Linked DNA regions of Zea mays. The protein of the gene in region 1 binds, or shares a complex with, the protein of each later gene. Links are inferred from orthologs where the notes say so. Each region holds a gene or a part of one and is shown in the gene's direction. Other genes may lie near its edges. The genes, in order: 50S ribosomal protein L3, chloroplastic-like; 50S ribosomal protein L31-like; 50S ribosomal protein L13, chloroplastic-like; 50S ribosomal protein L34-like; 50S ribosomal protein L4-like; 50S ribosomal protein L24, chloroplastic-like.

Region 1 (3,102 bases):
AGACCAACCGTACAGGGCGCAGACCATCCGACCCCTGAGGCCGAACCATCCGCACTACACCAAGACACCACCAACGATGTACCGACACCCATGGAGGAAGATGACCTACAAGGGGAAGACCTGGTCGACTACGAAGCTACGCCAGAACACTTGGAAAATTAGAAAAAGTAAGGTGACGGATTGGTCAGGATCGCTATGACGCTCGACGGTGTTGGGACTGACAGTTCGATCAAAGCTAAAAGAGTCACGTCCGTTGAGTCAACCATCGGGACTAAGGCCACTACGTATCATCCTAGCAAGTGTCAAGATGCCTAAGAAAACTGATGTGATCACATCGAGTTAGTTGCTTTTGGTTCGCTCAGCTCCACCAAAAGGCAGGGGGGCATATGTTTGACACCAAAATGAGCCGGCGGACTGTCTGGCCCTGAGGCCGGACGGTCCGCGGTCCGGACGGTCCGCGCCTGTGGGCCGGACGGTCCGCGTGTGCACAGAGCAGATTAGGGTTCCGAGTTTTGTGCTACGATTGTTAGCTAAAATCATGGGATAAGCTCGGGAATTAGTTTGTAAAGGGTCCAGCCCCCTCCTCTATAAATAGAGAGGTATACGGCCGATTTGTAATCATCAATCGAATCAATACAACTTCTATTTCGCATTTTATCCTAGGAGTAGTTCTAGTCTAGTTTAGGTTTAGCCTCTCGATCCCCAAATTCTTCGCCTCTCTTCGACTCTACGCCGATTAGAGGAGTCTAGGTCGGCCGGCCCGAGCCTAGACAACCCCTAGGATCTCTCCTCCCCGACGGGGTCCCTCCCGGGAGCGAGATCCAGGCGCCGCCGGCGATCTTCCGCCGCCCCTGCGCACGCGCGGACCGTCCGGCCCTAGGGCGCGGACCGTCCGGCCGTCAGGCAGGAAACCCTAGCCCCTGCGCCAGGTCGCGGACCGTCCGGCCCCAGGCCGCGGACCGTCCGCGCCTGACCAGAGAGCACCGCCGCCGGTTCTTCTTGAGTATTTGGCGCTCCGAAAAAGCGTCAACAGCTCTGTTCCAACTTACCAAACACAGAACAGAGCGGCTCTGTTCCTAGAATCAGGGATGGAATGGCTCCGTTCTACTTGGCTCCTCAACCAAACACTAAGTACGTGACAATAGGAGAATGGATGGAGGTCTTGCCATGCAAATTTCTAAGCAACTGTATATACGCTTTCTTTGTAGAAAGGCGTATCTATTTGAGTCGCTTCCGAGCAGACGTCCTCCTTGGATAAGGGGATAGGCGCGAGGAAGAGCGGCCTATCCGCATCCGCATAAATCCCAGTCAAATTGAACGAGAGCGCCACTCCCCTCTGCTAATCCCAGTCAAATCGAAGCAAGCATGGCCATGGCGGCCGTGGGCGTGGGCGGCGCAGTGGCGTTCCTCCTCCCGCAGCGCCGCCAGGGCGCCGTCCCCTGGAGCGGCGGGCGGCGGCGGGCGCCCGTGGCGGTGCGCGCGTCGTACGAGGCCGGGGTGGGCGTGATGGCGACCAAGGTGGGGATGATGACCTACTTCGATCCGGAGACGGGGAAGCCGGTGCCGGTGACCGTGGTCGGGTTCCGGGAGGGCGGCAACGTGGTGACGCAGGTGAAGACGGCCGCCACGGACGGGTACGACGCCGTCCAGGTCGGGTACCACGGCGTGCGCGAGGACAAGCTCACCCGCCCGGAGCTGGGCCACCTGGGCAAGGCCGGCGCCCCGCCGCTGCGCCACCTGCAGGAGTTCCGGCTCACCGCCGTCGACGCCTTCGAGCCCGGCCAGCCCCTCGACTTCGCCGACCTCTTCAAGGAGGGCGACCTCATCGACGTCTCCGGCAACTCCATCGGCAAGGGGTTCCAAGGTAGTACACCGATTCTCGCGCCTCCATCCAATAGTGCGATTGCATTGCCAGCAACAGCAATTCTGCTAATGATCTGCCAGCCTCGGTTGTATGTGTCATTGTTCCGTTTCATGGAGAGTGAAGTTTTAGCAGCATTTGCTGTAGCTGTAGTTTCAAAGGTTTGCATTTGCGATTGCTATGCCACTTGTGCAATCTCCTAGCTTGCAACGTTCTTGATCCGCTCGCGCGCGGTTTTACTTGTGGCACTGCGCAGGTGGCATCAAGAGGCACAACTTCAAGCGCGGGCTGATGACGCACGGTTCCAAGAGCCACCGGCAGCTGGGTTCCATCGGAGCCGGGACGACGCCGGGCCGCGTGTACAAGGGGAAGAAGATGCCCGGGAGGATGGGAGGAACCAAGACCAAGATCAGGAAGCTCAAGATCGTCAAGATCGACAACAACCTCCGGGTGCTCATGATCAAGGGGGCCGTGCCAGGGAAGCCCGGGAACCTCCTCCGCATAACGCCGGCCAAGATCGTCGGCAAGAACATCCCCAAGAACTAGACTTCTTTTTTCAGGGGGGTGAATGTTGAGTGTTTGTGTTTGTTACCCTGCTACAAACTGGATGTAATCCTTTGCCAATTTCCAGTTTTTGAACACATGCAACTTCAGATTAGTAAAACTATAACCTGTACAATTTGGATGCTTGGGTGAGAGAGTAATAGGCAGGTAATGCAAGATGCACTTCTGGTTCCTGAATTCCGCTAAACAATAGTTGATTAATTCTATGGCCATAGATCATACAAATAGTTAAATACAAATGGTCGCAGATCATGCAGATATGTACTGATCTGAGTCAGGAAACGCAACCAAAACGGAACCAGGAAATGCGACAAACAAGAAAAACTGCAGACGTAACCTTGTGCAACAGGGGGGCAGAAAGGAGAACTTTGACATAATCGTAAAGCTTCCACTATAGCCAACTGAACGAATACATTTGCTACCACATCACCCTCAGAGAAGATACAAAGAAGACGGATTGTTTGGGCCACCCTTCAATACGGATTATTTGATCATAATAATAAGCCATCCATGCTTCTACTCTAAGAGCACAAAACCTAACACGGAAGAAGAAACAGTGGCCACCAAATCAGCTAGTTCCACGACCACAATTGTAGATATTTAGCTGCCCAAAATAGTCTGTACAAATGGATCACTCCTCAACCTGCACATAAAGAACATACGACCAAAGAAGTTAG
Region 2 (2,654 bases), on another chromosome or scaffold:
ACAAACATTGTTATACTCATACAACATGGAATAAATCTTTGTAGATGTAGTTAATCGATAAATAACAAATATAAAATTGCACCTATCAAAGTTAAAATATATGAATACTTAGCTAGATCTATTATCAACAAGGCATAATGAATAGAGATAGCCAAACAAACCAAAGTTAAAATATATGAATACTTAGGGCAGCATGACGTACGAATAATGATATACCAAAAGGTGATAGAAGAGTATAGTATTTAGTAAGAGCAACTACAATAGTTATGTATAATAATAATACCTAAATCCTAGATATAGCAAGTTCTCATATAATATAGGGGAAAAAATCATCTCATCCAACATTTCTCTATCTATTACTTTCTAAATATGTTAAATTTTAATTAACATGACGCTAGTTTGAGTAGGACCATTAGTGATGACACATTTAATTGGTGAGTTATGTTGGCTTTTTTATTTACTATCACAATTGTTTATTCGTTTATTTCTAACATGTGCACGTGCGGCTATTGCATTGGCAATTGGTTAATCTCTAGTTGACTACCTGCCACAATTTTACATCGTCGGCGTCCGACGAATGTGCTCTGTTAATATATCTCTACTACAAAGTGAAAAAACACCAAAATACAAAAGTTATCGTCAGTTTTTTGTTTAGGAAGTTGATAAATGGTTGCTAAATGTAGGGAGAAATTGAGATTAGATGAGAAGTAGCTAAATTTAGAAAATTCATTTAAGAGAGTTGTTGGAGATGAGTTTTTAGTTTAGCTACCTAAATTATTTATTGATTTAAGGAATCTTTTGGAGAACTACTAGAGTTGCTCTAATAGAGTTGCTCTAAATTATTTAATTTTATACTCTTAAGAAAACCGTAACAACTGTAATTGTAGTTTGCATATCATTCCTTAATTATATTTAAGTCAGACTCTACACGGCATGCAACTTTCTCTTCTTTTGGCCCACTAATTCAACCAACCATCTACCAACACTTTCATTTCTGGTGGTGTACTTTCTTCGACGTTACATCTATGAAAGAGAATTTTGATCCGAAATGTTTCGATAAATAAAAAACCGCATAGCTATACCTCTTTAGTATAGCTGGCCGCCAACTGGAAATAACTGAAGGAGAAATTGGGCACTGGATTTTTCGTGGGCCGTCGCATTTCCACGTAGCCCAAAACAAACCACAGACAGACTTTAATGAACATATAGAGCCCAAACAAGCCTAGACAACGCTACCTAAAGAGAGAATCGACGAGCGCCAGAGGATAACATTAGCAAGGCGATAGATAAGAGGAAGGAAAGAACATAGGCAGCCGAAGCGACTGTCGCGAGGCAAGGCCATCGTCCGCCATGACGCTCTCCCTCTCCACCTCTTTCCTCCCCATCCCCGCCGCCGCGAGGACCACCGCCCGCACCCTACGCTCCGTCGTCCCCTCCCAGGTACGCACGTTCGTACACACCGGCCCTCCCTCTCGCCATTCCTGCACGGATCTTCGTCGTCGCCGCCGCTAATTCCTGAGTCCGGAACCTGGACGGCGCGGTGCAGGGGATGCGCTGCTCGATGCGCAAGAAGGGGTTGCACCCGGAGATCTACGAGGACGCGAAGGTGTACTGCAACGGCGAGCTGGTGCTGGTGACGGGGGGCACCAAGCCGGAGTACACGGTGGACGTGTGGTCCGGAAACCACCCCTACTATGTCGGCGACACCTCGGCGCTCGTGGTCATGGACAGCCAGATCGAGAAGTTCCGCAAGAAGTGGGGCCACATCAAGGAGTACTGGCCCGAGGACCAGTGGAGGGAGATGCACCCAGACGGCGACCCGGAGTTCGAGCCCGAGGGGGACAACTGATTGATGGCTCCCCGTCTTCCTCACCCGGTGCGTGGTCACCGGTCCAGTTTACATTTGCCCTCTTGAATGGAATCGAGACTCTGTCTGTTCGCATTGCTCTCCAGGTGTTCGGTTAATGTTCGGAATGGAAAATGTACAATTACTACTACTTCACGAGATAGGGTCTTGTTGATCATGGGCCCCCAAATACAATGTGCTTTCTGCAATGCACTCTAGGGTAGGATGGTATTGATCAAACAAGCAAATGATCCTGGTTCGAGGAAATGGATATTTCTCACTAGGAGTATACGCTGATGCTTGACTACAGCTTGAGTCGTCTGCTGATAACCTGATACCGCATACTGTTTGATCAAACTAGCCTCCTGTTGCTAGGTGATCCAATTTCCGAGTCATAGTTTTATACAACCAATTTTTCCATGCGACTGAACTAATTGAGTGTCCATGTGTTGCATGATATATAAAACATGTCGTGACATACGGCCATATGGGTGGAATAGAATATTTGTAAAATCTCATGCCATTACAAACAATTAGCACCAACATATAATTCAAGCTAATTTCTATAAAATAAAACAAAATGACTATAATATTATTGGCTTAATCTAGACAAAAGAAAAGTAAGTAATTTTATTTTGTTATTAATAAACCGTTGAAGATAATATCATACACTAGCTCTGATTCACTCTATTTCCTACGTTGATAGAAAATGTGGCGGAAATAAGAATAGATAGCGACAAGCAAATAGATACTCCCTCCGGTGTTATATTATTTGTCGTTTTGGATAATGTTCGAGTCAAACTTATAA
Region 3 (4,038 bases), on another chromosome or scaffold:
TACATTTGCTATCTCTGAACATGGAGCACGGAGTAACATATATGATGAGGGGAAAGCTATTGTTCAAAAGCACAAGGCTACCCCTGAAGAGGTAGAGGTACAATTGACTCGGTATCGTCAAGATGGAATGCCGGACACAAAAAGATTGCACGGACTGAAAGGTCAGTCTGTTAATCTTTCTCAAACAATTGTTCTTTTGCTCCTGTGGAATATCTCTGTATATGTTTTCCGAACTGTTATAATGAATTTACCCGTTTGATTTTTCAGCTCTAGCCGAAGCCTCTGTTATTGTGAGGGAACTCACCCCTGCAACGAACCATTTCATGTGTGCTTGGTTTAATGAAGTGGTTCGCTTCACATCTCGTGATCAGCTCAGTTTTCCATACGTTTTGTGGCGGCTAAACATGCATGGATTGAGCATGTTTCCTGTATGCACTCGCAGGGATCTTGTGAATAGTTTGGGTCACACAAGGAAAGTAAAACCTCTTACACAGACAAATTCAGGGTCTTCTACTACTTCGTAACCTTCCTCCCAGTTCATTTGCTGGTAGCCAACTAACCATTGATTTACATATGGTTCTAATCGTCGATACTCGACATCTCTGGTTCACAATTTTGTTGTTGTATATTATCATCTTTGCGTTCTTCCTGCGAGGGAATCCTGGATCTGAACCAGAAACACGTTAAGCTGTTGCTTCACTGCAACGCAATCACACGATGTTGCCACTATATATGTAAAAGATATGCTTTCTTTGGTTAGAAGAGAATGAACACTTTTCTGCCTCCTTTCCGTTTCCTGATGGAACATGTGAAAATGGTGTCCGTTATCAATTAATTCGGCTTCTGCTGCTGATGGTTGTCGCGGAAACTAGCAGCAATGGAAGTTCTGTTCCCGTCATTTTATTTGGACTCGAGAATTTCTCTGATTACCGATGTTTCTAATTGGTACTTGAACAGCGGAATCGTTTGAAAAAAATATGGTCCTGTCTGAAGCTATATTTTGTTAATGCAGCTCCCTTTGCCCAATAGTAATACATTGAATTTCTTTTTTTTAGATGGAATTATGGAACCGCCATTATTCTGAGTTTGGGAAGAGTTTCAAAGGAAGCGTTTAAATCTCAGATGAGCTGATAAGGTGTCGTAATGGGCCAAATCTGCATTTCGTTCTGAGCCCATGAAGCCCATATGTTCTTGTTAACCTTTCCCTGTTCTTTGTCTCCTATCCCCTTATCCGCTTGACGCTCCCCACTGCGCCTAAAAATGGCCGCGTCCCACTGAACCAACCGTCTGCACATCCTCCTCCTGTTGCCGCTCGCTCGCCGTGCCGCAATGGCTACGGCCGTCGCCTCCCATACGTTGCTCTCCTCCGCCTTCGCCCCGCGCCACTACCACCGCCGCCTGACCCGGACCGCGTCCGTGGGGCCGCGCCGGGCCGCCCCGGTGGGACTGGCCGTGCGGTGCGAGAAGAGCGACAAGCAGAAGAGGCAGCCGCTCGCCGCGCTCGTGCCCCGCGAGCAGCGCTTCATGTTCGAGGGAGACGAGCTCTGCGGCCCCGTACGACGCTCTCTCTTCCTCTCTTGAAACAATGTGCACATTTTCACAGCTCGTTTTGCAGGATTGTAACCCTGGACTGACAGTGTCCATCCTATTTTGTTCATGTTTCACCGTGGCCATCTTAATCCACCTCAGAGGCTTCGACTATCCTTTTATGTGCATGATGAAGGGCAATCAAGTTACAATAGAACTGCGTACATTATATATGTTATCTGCCATGTGCCATCATATCCAAAATTACCCATGGGCTGTTTGTGGTGAGAGAGAATTCATTAAAAATGAGCTTAATTGGACATGCAAGTCAAAGTGAACTGATGGTTGCCAACCAGCCTGTTCATAATTGTGACTTGTTTAGGATCAGTTACTAATACTATGGGTACAAAGTGAATGGTTTGTTTGTACTATGCCTTGTTCTTTCTTCTAATGAATTACTCCACAAGTAATTGTGTCTACTGAAATCTGATTCAGTGATTTAATTTGCAGGACATATGGAATACAACCTGGTATCCTAAGGCTGCAGATCATGTAACTACCGAGAAGACATGGTATGTTGTTGATGCAACAGACAAGATCCTAGGCAGGCTAGCATCCACCATTGCAGTACATATCAGGGGAAAGAATGAACCCACTTACACTCCTAGTGTAGACATGGGAGCTTTTGTTATTGTGGTAAGCGTTCTCTCAATACCTATAGTGTTTGGAATCCCTACAGTTAACAGGTAGCCAGCTAACAAATTGTTAGCTGGGTTGAGCCAGCTAATGAACTAATTGTTAACTGTGAGTTAGCTAACAATTAGTTGTGGGTGTTTGGAACCTGTATAGCTAATTTTAGCAGCTAACTATTAGCTGTAGAGGTTCCAAACAGGGCCTTAGTATACATGCTTTACTTCCCTCAGATTATTTGGTACTGAGGTGAGTAACCTTCCTCAAATAATCTTCAACTGTAGTTGTGTTTAATGTTTATGTTAGCATAGTCCTTTTGTGACTGGTGCATCTCTAAAGGCTCATTACCACGTATTCCCTCAGTTCCAAGTTATAAGACTTTTTGGATTTTTTTTGGATCCATTACTTTTGCTACGCACTTAGACATAATTCATGTCCAGATATTTAGTAACAACTATGTATCTAGAATTACCAAAACATCTTATAATTTGGAACAGATGGAGTAGATGATATGCATTATTGTGTTACACTACAATGCTGAGAGTCATTAACAACCTTTTCTATTCACATAGGTCAATGCAGATAAGGTTGCTGTTTCTGGTAAAAAGCGGTCACAAAAGCTTTATAGGAGGCACTCCGGAAGGCCTGGAGGGATGAAAGAAGAAACTTTTGACCAACTTCAGAAAAGAATTCCAGAGAGAATCATTGAACATGCGGTTCGTGGCATGCTCCCCAAGGGAAGGGTAAGAAAAAACATCTACTAGCTGATTGCCTCAGGTCTACATGTTCTCTTTCTCGTTTTAGTGCGCATGTTATAATGTATGCCAAATATGAAAATGACAACCAAATTTCCTGGTGACCTTTATTTTAAGGTCCCAAAAATTACAATTTGGTATTAGTTAGCAGATGTGAATTTTTTCTTTTGAGATTGAGAACTACTATAGTTAATGGTGAGGCCTTGTTCGGTTATTTCAATTCCATGTGGATTGGTGTGTTGGGATGGATTGGGATGGATTTTGACTTGCTATGGATTTAAACCGACTCAATACCACTCAATCCACATGGATTAACGGCGAAACGAACAAGCCCTGAAGTGTATTGCAGTCAGAACATTGCTCATGCATCAGCATGTACCTCCCAGTGAAAGCGTGACATTCAGAATAAATCACAGTACTAAATTCAAGGGAATGTTGTTATTGAACAAAATTAACAAGTCCAGATTGAATTAGTTAATTATCTTGCCGATCTTTTTTTTTCTAAGTTCGCAAAGGTGTGTTGCATGAACTCCATAAAAATTGCCTATTAACCTTTTTCTTGCAAATTGCTTCTTAGTTCAATTGTTTGGTAGTATGGATGCGTTTACTGAAACTCACATTATGGCAGGCAAATATCTTGTTATCTGAAGCATCCCCCCTAACCATTCCATTTTTCTTGTTGATGGCAAATTTGATTTAACTTAGTTTTGTTATGTGCTATATACTTGTTATATTTACATTTATATGCTCACCTTTTTTGCCAATTTGCAGCTGGGAAGAAGATTATTTACCCACCTCAAGGTATACAAAGGGACAGAACATCCGCACGAGGCTCAAAAACCTGTCCCACTCCCGATCAGGGATAAAAGAATACAAAAAACTGGATAGAGAATTCATCGACTGAAAAGGATGCAGTGGCGAATTCCTCCCCAGAAGGTTTTGCCCTTTGTTTGGAATGCTATCCTCATAACCATGCCTCTGATCGGGGAGGGGGGGGGGGGGAGTATAAATCCTCTTTGTAATTTTGATGTTTACCAATGCATGAAATTCAGTCAAATTTCTGTCA
Region 4 (3,862 bases), on another chromosome or scaffold:
TGGCGATCCACCGTGAAGTGTGACAAGTACTTTTCTACCGGCTCCTTGTGCCATTCAGAGAGTTTATGCAGCAGCTCCGCCTATTCCTTGTCGCGTTGTTCGTTCCATTGCTGCATCACCTCCTTCTCATCACGCATTACGAGGTCTTCAAAGGGTCTTTGGTCATCAGCCGGGAGCGCCTCCATGGCCGGCTTGATGATGTTGGTGGTGGAGATCTTGGTGTGATCCTTAGAACCGACCATCTATGGGCCGATTTTTAGCAGGTCTAGACACCTAGTCCCCAGCAGAGTCGCCAAAAGTATGTTGACACCTTTTTCGGGCGCCAAACACTCAACAAGAACCGGCGACGGTGCTCTCTACACAGGCGCAAACGGTTCGCGCCCAGGGGCCGGACGGTCCGCGACCTGACGCAGGGCTAGGGTTCCCTGCCTGACGGCCGGACGGTATGCGCCCTAGGGGCCGGACGGTCCGCGTGTGCGCAGGGGCGGCGAAAGGTCGCCGGCGGCGCCTGGATCTCGCTCCCGGGAGGGACCCCGTCGGGGAGGAGAGATTCTAGGGGTTGTCTAGGCTCGACAGGCCGACCTAGATCCTCTAATCGACATAGAGTCGAAGAGAAGCGGAGAATTTGGGGATTAGAATACTAAACTAGGGCTAAACTAGAACTAGACTAGAACTACTCCTAATGCATAAGGTAAAAACGAGTAATAGACTTGATTTGATCGATTGTTGGGGAGTTCAATCGGCCGTAGCCCTTCATCTATATAAAGGGGGAGGTCTGGATCCGCTTCGAACTGATTTCCGAGTCAATCCCACGGTTTTAGATAACAAATCCCATGAGAAACTAGGAACCCTAACTGACTCTGCGCACGTGCGGACCGTCCGCGCCACCACCGAAGACAGTCCGGACCGTGGACCGTCCGCGCGGCCCCTTTTGGCTTTCAACAACTGTATATGCTCGGACTTAGAGCTAAAGATCCAGAAATGAGGAAGCAATTCTTCAAGCTTTACCATGATACAGTTTTGTAAACATTCTTAATCTTTAAAAGATGCTAACAAGAGTATAGGACAACAATTAATGCTTCTGCATTTCAACGTATCTTATCTTAACATATTTTACTCCGTAGCAATGCACGGGCATACAACTAGTATCATTGTAAGTTTTATAATGGAATGAAGCCCTCTAATTAATGGTAAAATAGCGAAACTCACTTTTGATAATGGCGCAATCCTAAATTTCTCCGTGAGGAACCGGGATTCTCCAGGGCGGAGGAGGGGATGTGTGGGTCAAATGTGCACTAGCCCATAGGAGGCCCATAAGGCCTGTCTCATCAAGCGTGGATAAGATAAAATAAAACAAGCACCAGGGACAGGGAGTGGCTAGACCGCAGCAATTGCGATTGCGAGTCCTCCAAACCATGGCGCTCGCCCTGGCCTCTCCAATGGCGTCTCTCTCCTTCCACTCCGGGAGGATCTCGGCGGCGTCTATCGGAGGCGTCGGCCGCACTCGCAGGGCGGCCCCGGTGGGCGTATCCGCCTCGCCGTTCCTCCGGAGCTCCTTCGTCTCGTCCTCCTCCACGTCGTCCGCCTCCGCCTCCGCCTCCCCCGCTTCGCTCGCGGCGGCTGTCTCGGCGTCTCTGGCATTTACGTCCTCCTCCGCGTTTGCGGGTGAGAATGTATCCTGTAATCCTTTTCTTCCTGTATTCGTGTGCTAGCGTTTGGGCGGCCATTTGTTTTGGTCTTTATTTGGGGAAATTTTGTGGGTAGTTTGCTTACTAGTAAGCTCGTACGGGGAAATGACATTAAAAATTTGAAATTATGACTTCATGACCGTGTGTTGACGATAGATTTGCAGAATAGGATGTTTGACTTGCTAATAATTCACTAATAATACAGTAAGCTGGTATCAAGAGGGTGGAGTTTTGGAATAGTTTGTTCTTTGTTGTTCATTACTCTAGTAGGGTGAAGAACAGTAACTGGGGATTTATGTTGTTTTAACGTTTGAACCGGAATTAATTACACTCACTTCATCTATACAAACAGAAATAAGGGTGTCCTAACTAATTCTTTGAAAACATTGAAGCTTGTGTGGTTGGTATTATAAAAAAACCAAAAATTCAGTTAGTCGGGCATATTAATAGAGAAGGACTAGATACACCAACATCGTTGAAAACAAAAGAAAAATGCTCACGAAACGAAGCGATGGCAAGACAATCACCAAAATAATAGTACATCGCCAATAAAACCATCAGAGCATTGGCAATCAGAACACGCCCTGATAGCCAAACAAGATATGGGGTGGGGTTCATATGATGCCTCCAAGGAGGTAAACAACATCTGCAGGTGCCGCCATCGATTATAGAACCTATGCTTTTGAACCAAAATCCCCTTAGGGTCTAGAGACCTCTTGACAATGCCTACAAGGAGGAGTGCGTCACCATTGCTGGCATCAACAGAAAGCCGAGCGTAGCTTTTGTCGAAAATCTGCTACCCCAAAACCCACACCTTGTTCCTGCAATGGCAAGGAGCCCACCAACGGCACTGCATGTTGTCATCCACCAAGTCTCAAGATAAAGTCATTGCAATAGCATTTTCTTTTGCTTGACAAGAAATCAAGATTTAAGAAGGGCTGCATATGACAGGACTATTAACCAATATAGTGAAGATTATATAACACAGTTGAAGCATAAACGCTTCCAAGAAACTTGATCTCAGGACTGATAGTCTGATACTACGACAACACTTTAATCACACTCGACTTTTCCATTACCTAAAGCAAATCCCAAAGCTCCTAAAAGAAGCACGACAAAGTTGAATCCAACAAACCATTTAAGCATTGTATAACAATCCAAACACAACCAGATAGGTATTCACAAATCAATGATTGTGAGTGCATGTGTGCCTTCGTTGTTCTTATACTTATAGCATGTTCTATGCCAGGTTCATCTTTGGGAATCGAGTTCAGCTACAGTATAATGACAACACGGAGATCCCGTGGTATGCAGATTAGGGCTGGAAAGGCTGCCCTCTGCATGACCAAGAGGTCAAGGTCTAGGAAGTCACTTGCCCGTACACATGGTTTCCGCAGGCGGATGCGGACTACTTCTGGAAGGAAGGTACTGAAGCGCAGGCGCGCCAAAGGCAGGAAGGTTCTTTGCACAAGGACAAACTCAAACAGTGGGAAGAAAAGAATGTTCTAATTACACTGCAATTTGATGTGCTCGCAACTGTAAGTGTAATGTCTACTTGCAATCTTCTAAGCCGCCATCTATGTGTAACAATCATGTAGCATCCTATTCCTGTTTAATTGGTTAAAAATATCTGGATCACCTTCTGCTTCCAAGGTTTTATTTGGTGTATGAATGATATTTTCTTATGAATATTTACTCTTCCCTAGTGGGCCTGAACCTGCGTGCAGTATGAAGGAACACTTGAGAGTAGATACCGTCGCTGTTATGAAGTAGGATCTCCTTTTACCCTGCCCATATTCCGTTATGAATACTGAATCTTCCCTGTTGGGTCTGAAATTGTGTGCAGTAGCATCGTTCGCTATACTGAACTAGGATCTCCTTTTGCGTTGCAGGGATAATCAGTTAAACTATTATATACTCCGGTTCCAATTTATAATTCATTTGACTTTTTTACACTAAGTTTGACCATCTCGTTTTATTTAAAAAATCATAATTATTGTTAAAGTTTACTGTGGTTTTGATTAGCATACAATATACTTTAAGTATGGCTTTGGATTTTTTTATTTTTTCAAAAAAAAAATTGAATAAGACAAACCGGATTTACCTTCATTAGCTGATGATGAAACTACTTACCCGTGCGGCCGTTTGATCCTTGCGCTACTTAAATTCTCTTT
Region 5 (3,969 bases), on another chromosome or scaffold:
GATTCACGTAGGGACCAAAGACTATGTTGGATAGATATTTGTATCATTCATGTAGAATGTATCGTGGAAGATCGAAACAGAAGAAAATAAATAAGTATGATAATTTGAACTTCGGCCATCTGCTCTAAACTTCTGATTTCCTGACTTGCTTTTACCTTATGGTTTGTGCAAGGGTGGCAGAATATCTGGAAAAAAAAACTATCATGAGAATGCAATCCGCAGTCATCTATTCAGGTTTCTTGACCTGCATGACTTTGCTTGTTACCTTGTCGGTAAGGAGACGCGTGCAAGTTGGTTATCATCAGGAAGCCAAGGGAACGTAGAACTTCTGATTAAGGCTGTGCGCAGCGGTCACCGCTAGCACTCCCCCTCCCCTTGCATGCCGTCTGTAGGGGGCACCCTACGGCCGCAGCGGTGCCCCCTACAGCGCCCCCTACGCGTCGGCACCCTTCTATCTCCCCCCAGATCTAGCGTGTCACTGTTCATCACCCTAAACACTGTGCTGTGGGTCCACGAGTAATTGTTAGTAGATAAAAAATTAATAGTTGATATAGAAAATGATATTTTATAGTTGTAGTGGGGTATAGGGGAGTATTTAGGGGGAACCGCTGCGGGAGATGAAAAAATAGGGAGAAAAATAGGGGGGAAAAGTGATATAGGGGGAAAAATTTAGGGGTAACGGTTGCGGATAGCCTAATCCTTTTTACCTAGAATTTCTGAAGATTCGTTTTCACCCTTTATCTATCCCAGCTGTGCTGAAAGCATTGGGCACTTGCAGTTGAGTCTGCAGGTGCAGCTGACTTAAGTGCACAGGCACGGTTTCGTCTCCTCCCGTCCCGTGTCAACCAGTTTTAGCAAACTGCAAGCAAATAAATTCACTTAACACGGCAAATGCCCTTTCATTACTTGTAATATTAATGGATTTTTAAGGAAAAATTACTCAAACTTGTGAAGTGCGACTGCGACTAGCCGACTCGGCATGAGACCTGACTCGGTGACTCCTGAGACAGTTGACAGTGTGCCTTCTTGTGGCGTTGGCAAGTAGGGACTACGAGTCTGTCTGGGGAGGAGTGGCCGAACCGAACGGGTGGATAACAAAGGGATAGAGAAGCGGCAGCTGCAGAGGCAGAGCGTCAGAGCCATCGTCCTCGCCTCACCCCGTAGTCCCGTACCTAGCGCAGCGAAGCCGGCACAATGCCAGCCGCCGCCGTAGTCTCCCCTCTCCTCCTCTCGCTCTCCTCGTCCTCCTCCCCCTTCCTCTCTTCCTCATCCACCTCCTTTTTCCCACCCTCCTCCGCTGCCGTCACTCCACACGCCGCCGTCAGGACGAGGGCGGCTGTCTCCGTCCTCCGCGCGCTGCGCGCCGAGGCGGCCACCCTCCCCGTGCTCTCATTCACCGGAGAGAAGGTCGGGGAGGTAACCCTCGACCTCAAATCCGCGCCACCCTCCACCGCGCGCGCTGTCGTGCACCGCGCTATCATCACCGACCGCCAGAACGCGCGCCGAGGCACGGCCTCCACGCTCACCCGCGGCGAGGTCAGAGGCGGAGGGAGGAAGCCCTATCAGCAGAAGAAGACGGGGAAGGCGCGGCGGGGGTCGCAGCGTACCCCGCTTCGTCCCGGCGGTGGCGTCGTGTTCGGCCCCAAGCCCCGCGACTGGTCCATCAAGATCAACCGCAAGGAGAAGCGCCTTGCCATCTCCACTGCCATCGTGAGCGCCGCCAAGGACGCCTTCGTTGTCGAGGAGTTCGAGGAGGCCTTCGCGTCGGGGCCCAAGACCAGGGATTTCGTGGCCGCTTTGCAGCGGTGGGGGCTTGACCCGAAGCAGAAAGCCATGTTCTTTGCCACGGACTTCGACGACAATGTGCGGCTCAGCGGCAGGAACATTGGTTCCCTCAAAATGCTCACACCCAGGACGCTGAACCTGTACGACATACTCGACGCACGCAAGCTCTTCTTTACTCCTGCTGCTGTAGACTACCTCAACTCCAGGTACGGAGCCAGTGTTTCCGATGACTACTATACTGATGACGAGGATGATGGCGAGGAGGAACTGGTCGAGCAAGAAGCAGAAGAAGGCACCACAGCAGATGCTGCTCCAGGTACATAGCTACAGAGTATGCTTTGCTGGTTGCAGTGCGCTGCTTGATTATTCCTGTACTGGCCATATATGGGCTCTCTGCTAGTAACTGCTATCCTTCAGTTAGTACATGTCTCAACAGGTTGAAGGAGAATAGCAAATGGTAGTGCTACGAAGCAGTAATGCCGATTGGATTGAATTGCATCACCATTATTTTGGGGAACATTTTATCTACAATGTAAATTTGAATGGCATAAAACCACACTACTCAAGGACCAAGACATGGGGTTTGAATATCGGTTTTGTACAGGACTATGTTTTGCTGAATAAAAATGCACCTCTTACCATATTTCTCATTTTTCTAAAAGAGAGTGGCAGGAGCTCTGCCTTGCATTGAAGGGAAATAAGATGGTTTTGTCTGAATGGCAGACACGCCTCAACATAAAATAGGACAACCACAAATTTCATGAGAGAGCCAACCTGCAAAGAAACAAAAACAAGACACAATTGTTGTGGCGGCCAATGATGTCGGTGTCACGGCGGGAGAGGGCGTGGTCGACCGTATGGAGACAACTGGGGCAGTATTACACCGTGAAGTTGAAGCCGAACAACTTGCTCACCCACTGGTGCCGCAGGATCGTTGAGAGGCGTTGATCAGGCAGGAACTTCACGCTAAAGTGGTTGGTGCAGATGAGTAACCGGCGCCCCCAGAGATATGGGCGCCAATGACGCACGACTTGCACCAAGTCGATGAGCTCTCGTTCGTAGGCGGCGATCTTCTGGTGTCATGGCACGAATGGTCAGCTGAAGTAGGCCAGTGGTCCTGCGCCCTACTGAAGGATAGCGCCGAACCCTATGCTCGTCGCGTCACACTCCACGACGAACAAGGTATCGAAGACTGGCAGATGGAGGACCGACACAGTGGAGTGTGCGCGCTTGAGTGCGGTGAAGGTCGTCTCAGCCTTCGGTGACAAGTGGAAGGTGTCCTTCCCTAGCAAGCTGGTGAGTGGCGCCACGATGAGGTCGAATTCCTATATGAACTTCCTGTAGTACCCCATAAGGCCCAGGAAGGTGCAGCCAAGACGTGACGGCCTCCACCTTGTCTCCATCCATGGCTACGCCATCTACGGAGATGACGTGCCCTAGGTATGCGACGGACGTCATGCCAAAGGAGAGCTTGCCAAAGAGGGAGTGTGCATGGAGGCGTCGAAAAAGGCGTGTTGCAGATGAGTTGACCACGAGTCGTTGTAGATGAGAATACATCAAAGAAAACAAGGACAAACCAACGGAGTAAGGGCTGCGTGACTTCATTCATGAGGCTCTAGAATGTTGCCTGCGTGTTTGCCAACCCAACTGGCACCAACAGAAACTCAAAGTGGCCATGGTGGGTGTGAAACACGGTCTTCTCGATGTCGCCTGTGTGCATGCGGATCTGGTGGTACCCGGAGCGTAGGTCCAGTTTTATGAAGAAATGGGCGCCATGGAGCTCGTCAAGGAGCTCATCAACGACGGGGACGACGAGGATTGGGAACTTGTCCTTCACCGTGTAGTCGTTGAGGAAGCGCAAGGAGTCGATGTAGAAGAGCAAGGAGTCATGCTTCTTGACGAGGAGCATCGATGTGGAGAAGGTCGACGTGCTAGGCTAAATAACGCCCTAGACCAGCATGTCGACGACTTTGCACTCCAATTCGTCCTTATGGACCTACGAGTAGCGGTAGGGTCGGACAGCGACTGTTGTCGTGTCTGGCTGCAAGTGAATGCAATGGTCACATGCACGAGTTGGTGGCAATCCAGAAGGCATGGCGAAGACATCGATGTTGGCGAGAAGATCGTCAAGGAGTGGTCGCGGCTCAGGCAGAATAGTGTGGAGGGCTATCGACGTCGTTGCAC
Region 6 (4,322 bases), about 29 Mb from region 1:
CTTGTGGAGGCCACAAGGTGCAAAATCTCTATCACAGTGGGCAAATTAATCAACAACCGAAGGAAACTACTTGACATGTCTAGCTCCGAAACCTGTGAAAAAAAATGGTCCACATCTGGAGTGTCGCAAGCAAGTAGAGCTTTGCCCAGACAGATTGAGTTTTGCCCAGCACTCCAGCATCCATGCCTTAAAAGGTTATAGTTAGAAAGGGGGAGGATTGCTAAGCCCTTGCCAGTTAGCCACATAGAGAGAAGGCCTTATTATTAGATCATGCCATTTCTTTTCTTACAAAATTAACAAAGTGCAAAGCATTACTATGGCCACGAGGAACAGATAGCTACGAAATGAAACTGTCGCAATTATCATGGAAAAAAGCCACACATTTCCTTATCCATTTTGTTTGGTAGCGCCACATAGAAACAAAACTTCATGTCACGATTTGCATAGTTATCTCAACACATGTGGCGAATAGAAAAGGAGAAAGAGAAAAATAAACACAAGATTCTTAACCATAATAAGATATAATTTGTGTCGGGCATTTGCATAGTCACATGCTTATCCCATGGGGAACGTTAAAGGTTTGCTTGCACGGCAGGACCATTCCTGATTCCCTAGATGGTAGTTAGATGACGGCGATAGGAGCCGAGGCCCAACTGCCCAGTGATGTATTGGCCGTGTTGTTTATGTGATCTGTCATGGATGTCCTACTATGATTCAAGGATTTAGGACATGCGCAGAACTGCCAGCAATGAAAAGTCGAAGAAAGAGATATTGACTTCGAGGGGGAGAAATGTAGTCCACTATGAGAAAAGAGATACCCAATGTCTCTGGAGAAAAAGATCTGAGGTAAACACGTCTAACTTGCAACCATGATTTGCAATAGAGAAATCCGATTGACATCCCACCCTTTCTCGGTGCAGGATGGGACCTGCAGCAGCAAAAGCGCAAAGCTTCGATGTCACCGCCATCCACCTACCCTCCATCGCCCAAACTGTCTCTGTCTCTGTAACGCGAATTTTATTTTACACAACAGCAAAGTGAAAAACTGGAGTAGGGGGTTCGCTTGCCTCAGCAACCGTCGCGTAGCTTGCGCGCCTCGGCGCTGGAACGGGGAATCTGGAGGCGGGCACGCATCTCCCAAGCAATCTCGCGTGGCCTCGCGTAGCGTGCGAGGAGACACGCAGAGAGGGAGGGAGAGAGAAAGAGAGCCTTGACCCCGCCGTCCTCGTCCTGTCGTCCTGATAGCTGATGCAGTGATGCTGATCAGCTGATGCGTGCGGAGCTCGCTCGTGGAGCCGAGGCCCTAGCCTGTAGCCTCTCACGGCGGTAGAACGAGCACCCATGGGCCTCACTGGATCACCTAAGCGTCTTCCAGGCCCATCTGTGCCTCACCTGAGGCCTGTCTCATTTAGTGACGAGGCCCAACCCACCAGCGTCAGAATACAAGAGCGCGTTATCCTCTCTCTTCCGGTTCCGGGCAACTCGAAGAAGCCGCGTGCGTTATCCTTTGAGCAGTTTGGGCGCTGAGCAAGTCCAGTGAGAGAGGGAGAGCGGCGAGAGGATGGCTGGGATGGCATCGCTGCAGGGCGCCATGGCGTCGCTCTCCATCTCCGCGCTAGGCGCGGCGACGGCGAGCAGCAGCAGCTTCTGGGGCAACCGGCTCGCCACCTACTCCGCGCCGCAGCCTGGGGTCTGTTCCTGCTTCCCAATTCCGTTCCGTTCTGCTGATGGTTTGGTAGATAATAAGTAGCTGTTCTGGTGAAAGATTTTACTCTGGAGTTTCTGGATAGCGTTGCAAAGCGCGGTCGGATGGAATTGTTCTAGGGACATTCGAGCTTGCATTACGGTTTTGGAGCTAGTCTGTATGGATTGGATGCAATGAAATGGAAAATTACCTTTGCATTGTTATTAATTGTGCATTTTCAAGGATGACAAACCAGGCTTCTAATATGACTATGTTTAGGGGTGTTTGACATCACTCTAGAGCAAAACTTTAAGGAAGACCTGGACAAAGTCAACTAAACACCCTAATTCTAGAGTTGCAAACTCTATAGAGTTTTGAGAGTTGTAGTATAATTTTTTGGAGTACATTTTTTGCTACTTTGAAAAATCCTTCAAAAACAATCAAGACACATCCAATGCACTGGTTATGAGAAAGCAATCTACACTTCGGAGCAGATATACTTCACCCAAAGTTTTGGAGTAGAACTATGCCAAACTCGCCCTTATTAGATTTCATATTACATTAAGTTTCTATTTGCTCCACGACACACACTAAATTTAGACCGTGTCCATATTGAATTTCGTCTACCTTCTTTTTTTATTTTTATCTTGCATGGAAGCTTAAATGGTAAGATTTGAGTGCGCCAAATAGATTAACTGATTGGGATTAATTTAAGTAAGAGAATTTCCTTTGTCATTGGTAATCCGGTATTGTCCTTTTTGCATATACAACTATGCACATGTTTGCCTTTTAGTGCTAATAGAGAGTATGCTGTGTTTCATGTGGTAAAATTTGTTCGAGTACTCTTTATTTAGTTTGTTAACTGAGGAAATTATGTTGCTTTTGAAGCGGTCAAAATGTCAACTGAAGAAATTATGTTGCCCTCAATGTGCCACTGATTTTGTTTATATATATTTATGCCTGAATTACCCCACATCACACAATACATATGACTAACTGGAAACAAAATTTGGCGCCAAATAGTGTATTATGAGCATAATGATGTTTGTATTTGAACCCTGCTTTCTTTTCTGTGTCATCTTTATTATGCCTTACCTGTATGTACTTGTGCCTGGAAAATTCCCAACTGATAAGAATCGGATGAGGATAAACCTTTCTGTTAAGAAGCAAAAGCAAGTAAAGAATAGATAGTGAGGTCAAGTAATCACTGTTGAAGGAAGTGATAGAACCACTGTATTTTAAGGGATATCGTATTACTCAAACATAAAGAGGAGCCCTGGATCCTGTAGTGTCTTGATCAGATCAACATGAATCGTAACCACTGTGTTTGAGTCATGCCATATCTCAGAAGCATCTGATTAGTGTCTCTTTGATTTGAAATGGAATCTTATGTCTTTAGGATGTGAAGTTCTGACAAGCTGTTTAATATGTTCAATATGCAGGTAAGGTTTATGGTCAAGATATGCCCAATTGAAATGAGAGTGAGTAAAAAAAATCTTTAGTCCAAATATTTGATACCTTTTTTATCCAATAATGTGAAATGTCCTAAAACTTCACTTTCCACTGCAGCTTAAGAGATGGGAGCGAAAGAAGTGTAAACCAAACAGTCTTCCTGTGCTGCACAAGATGCATGTTAGGATCGGGGACACGGTACAGGTTATTGCAGGCCGTGAGAAAGGAAAGGTTGGAGAAGTCACACGCCTTTTCAAGCACAACAGCACGGTGATCGTGAAGGACCTGAACTTGAAGTCGAAGCACAAGAAAGGCACAGACGATGAACCCGGTGAAATCGTCATGGTCAGCAAAATTTCTATTGAACTTGTTTTTTGGGCCTCTCATGATGCTTTGCACATATTGGTTTCAAGAGCATATCTGTAGTTTTAGTAGGTGCCTAATCGTTCTCTTGATCAGACTTAAATTTTCTTTGATCAGATTGAAGGCCCCATTCATAGCTCAAATGTGATGCTCTACTCTAAGGAGAAGAGTGTGGTAAGCAGGGTTGGCCACAAATTCCTGGAGGACGGGACCAAGGTCCGATACCTGGTCAAGACCGGTGAAGTAATCGACAGTGTTGAGAAGTGGGTAAAGGTTTTTAAGGAAGGAAATTCGGAGTAACAGTTTTAGCATGAAAACCTGCAAAATGCTCTGAACGCTGACTGCGTCTTGCATGTTGAATTGAGCCTGTTTATCCCTCTATGTTGTTATTTACGCCAGTTTTTCCCCCTGTAAATTATACAGTTGTCACCAAATCTTGCAACGCAAGTCAATGCGCATCAGCATATGCTGATCTTGTTCCGCTTCACCAGTCAGAGTTTTGGATGAAAAACTATGAGGGCATGTTCGGTTACAGTAATCCAGAGGGGGATTGGAGGGGATTAAATCCCCTCCTAGTCATTTTTGACTAGGAGAGGATTTAATCCCCTCCAATCCCCCTCTGGATTGGTGTAACCGAACAAGCCCTGAACGGGCTTGTATGTGCGGGCAGCCCGTGTTCGTTTGCAGCTCTGGACCCACTACTCTCGGTCTCGTCCTCACTTCCTCAGAAATATCCACATATATCATTTCCTATATTACAAAGGCATATTACAAAGGCGAAGTAACCTGTGCACATGAAGCAATAGTGCACATATAACATCTC

The links.
Region 2: 50S ribosomal protein L3, chloroplastic-like (region 1) and 50S ribosomal protein L31-like share a complex: the UniProt entries of both Arabidopsis thaliana proteins name them as parts of the 50S ribosomal subunit. The link is inferred for Zea mays from reciprocal best matches to the Arabidopsis thaliana genes AT2G43030 and emb2184.
Region 3: 50S ribosomal protein L3, chloroplastic-like (region 1) and 50S ribosomal protein L13, chloroplastic-like share a complex: the UniProt entries of both Arabidopsis thaliana proteins name them as parts of the 50S ribosomal subunit. The link is inferred for Zea mays from reciprocal best matches to the Arabidopsis thaliana genes AT2G43030 and emb1473.
Region 4: 50S ribosomal protein L3, chloroplastic-like (region 1) and 50S ribosomal protein L34-like share a complex: the UniProt entries of both Arabidopsis thaliana proteins name them as parts of the 50S ribosomal subunit. The link is inferred for Zea mays from reciprocal best matches to the Arabidopsis thaliana genes AT2G43030 and AT1G29070.
Region 5: 50S ribosomal protein L3, chloroplastic-like (region 1) and 50S ribosomal protein L4-like share a complex: the UniProt entries of both Arabidopsis thaliana proteins name them as parts of the 50S ribosomal subunit. The link is inferred for Zea mays from reciprocal best matches to the Arabidopsis thaliana genes AT2G43030 and RPL4.
Region 6: 50S ribosomal protein L3, chloroplastic-like (region 1) and 50S ribosomal protein L24, chloroplastic-like share a complex: the UniProt entries of both Arabidopsis thaliana proteins name them as parts of the 50S ribosomal subunit. The link is inferred for Zea mays from reciprocal best matches to the Arabidopsis thaliana genes AT2G43030 and RPL24.

The regions. Positions count from the first base shown.
Region 1 is NC_050100.1:79,035,704-79,038,805, reverse strand, and holds 50S ribosomal protein L3, chloroplastic-like, read left to right. Parts: upstream 1-1,221; 5' UTR 1,222-1,365; coding exon 1,366-1,864; intron 1,865-2,117; coding exon 2,118-2,407; 3' UTR 2,408-2,600; downstream 2,601-3,102. UniProt on the Arabidopsis thaliana protein: One of the primary rRNA binding proteins, it binds directly near the 3'-end of the 23S rRNA, where it nucleates assembly of the 50S subunit.
Region 2 is NC_050098.1:221,940,141-221,942,794, forward strand, and holds 50S ribosomal protein L31-like, read left to right. Parts: upstream 1-1,292; 5' UTR 1,293-1,350; coding exon 1,351-1,440; intron 1,441-1,546; coding exon 1,547-1,849; 3' UTR 1,850-2,142; downstream 2,143-2,654. UniProt on the Arabidopsis thaliana protein: Binds the 23S rRNA.
Region 3 is NC_050098.1:202,897,706-202,901,743, forward strand, and holds the start of 50S ribosomal protein L13, chloroplastic-like, read left to right. Parts: upstream 1-1,223; 5' UTR 1,224-1,329; coding exon 1,330-1,554; intron 1,555-2,037; coding exon 2,038-2,223; intron 2,224-2,789; coding exon 2,790-2,960; intron 2,961-3,743; coding exon 3,744-3,860; 3' UTR 3,861-4,038. Other genes in the region: uncharacterized protein LOC100285659, read left to right, coding at 1-161, 268-524.
Region 4 is NC_050098.1:192,685,856-192,689,717, forward strand, and holds 50S ribosomal protein L34-like, read left to right. Parts: upstream 1-1,389; 5' UTR 1,390-1,415; coding exon 1,416-1,665; intron 1,666-2,937; coding exon 2,938-3,197; 3' UTR 3,198-3,341; downstream 3,342-3,862. UniProt on the Arabidopsis thaliana protein: This protein binds directly to 23S ribosomal RNA.
Region 5 is NC_050096.1:38,266,509-38,270,477, forward strand, and holds the start of 50S ribosomal protein L4-like, read left to right. Parts: upstream 1-1,168; 5' UTR 1,169-1,194; coding exon 1,195-2,101; intron 2,102-3,969. UniProt on the Arabidopsis thaliana protein: This protein binds directly and specifically to 23S rRNA. May play a role in plastid transcriptional regulation.
Region 6 is NC_050100.1:50,135,631-50,139,952, reverse strand, and holds 50S ribosomal protein L24, chloroplastic-like, read left to right. Parts: upstream 1-1,504; 5' UTR 1,505-1,561; coding exon 1,562-1,690; intron 1,691-3,126; coding exon 3,127-3,165; intron 3,166-3,253; coding exon 3,254-3,481; intron 3,482-3,616; coding exon 3,617-3,799; 3' UTR 3,800-3,985; downstream 3,986-4,322. UniProt on the Arabidopsis thaliana protein: One of two assembly initiator proteins, it binds directly to the 5'-end of the 23S rRNA, where it nucleates assembly of the 50S subunit. Required for optimal plastid performance in terms of photosynthesis and growth.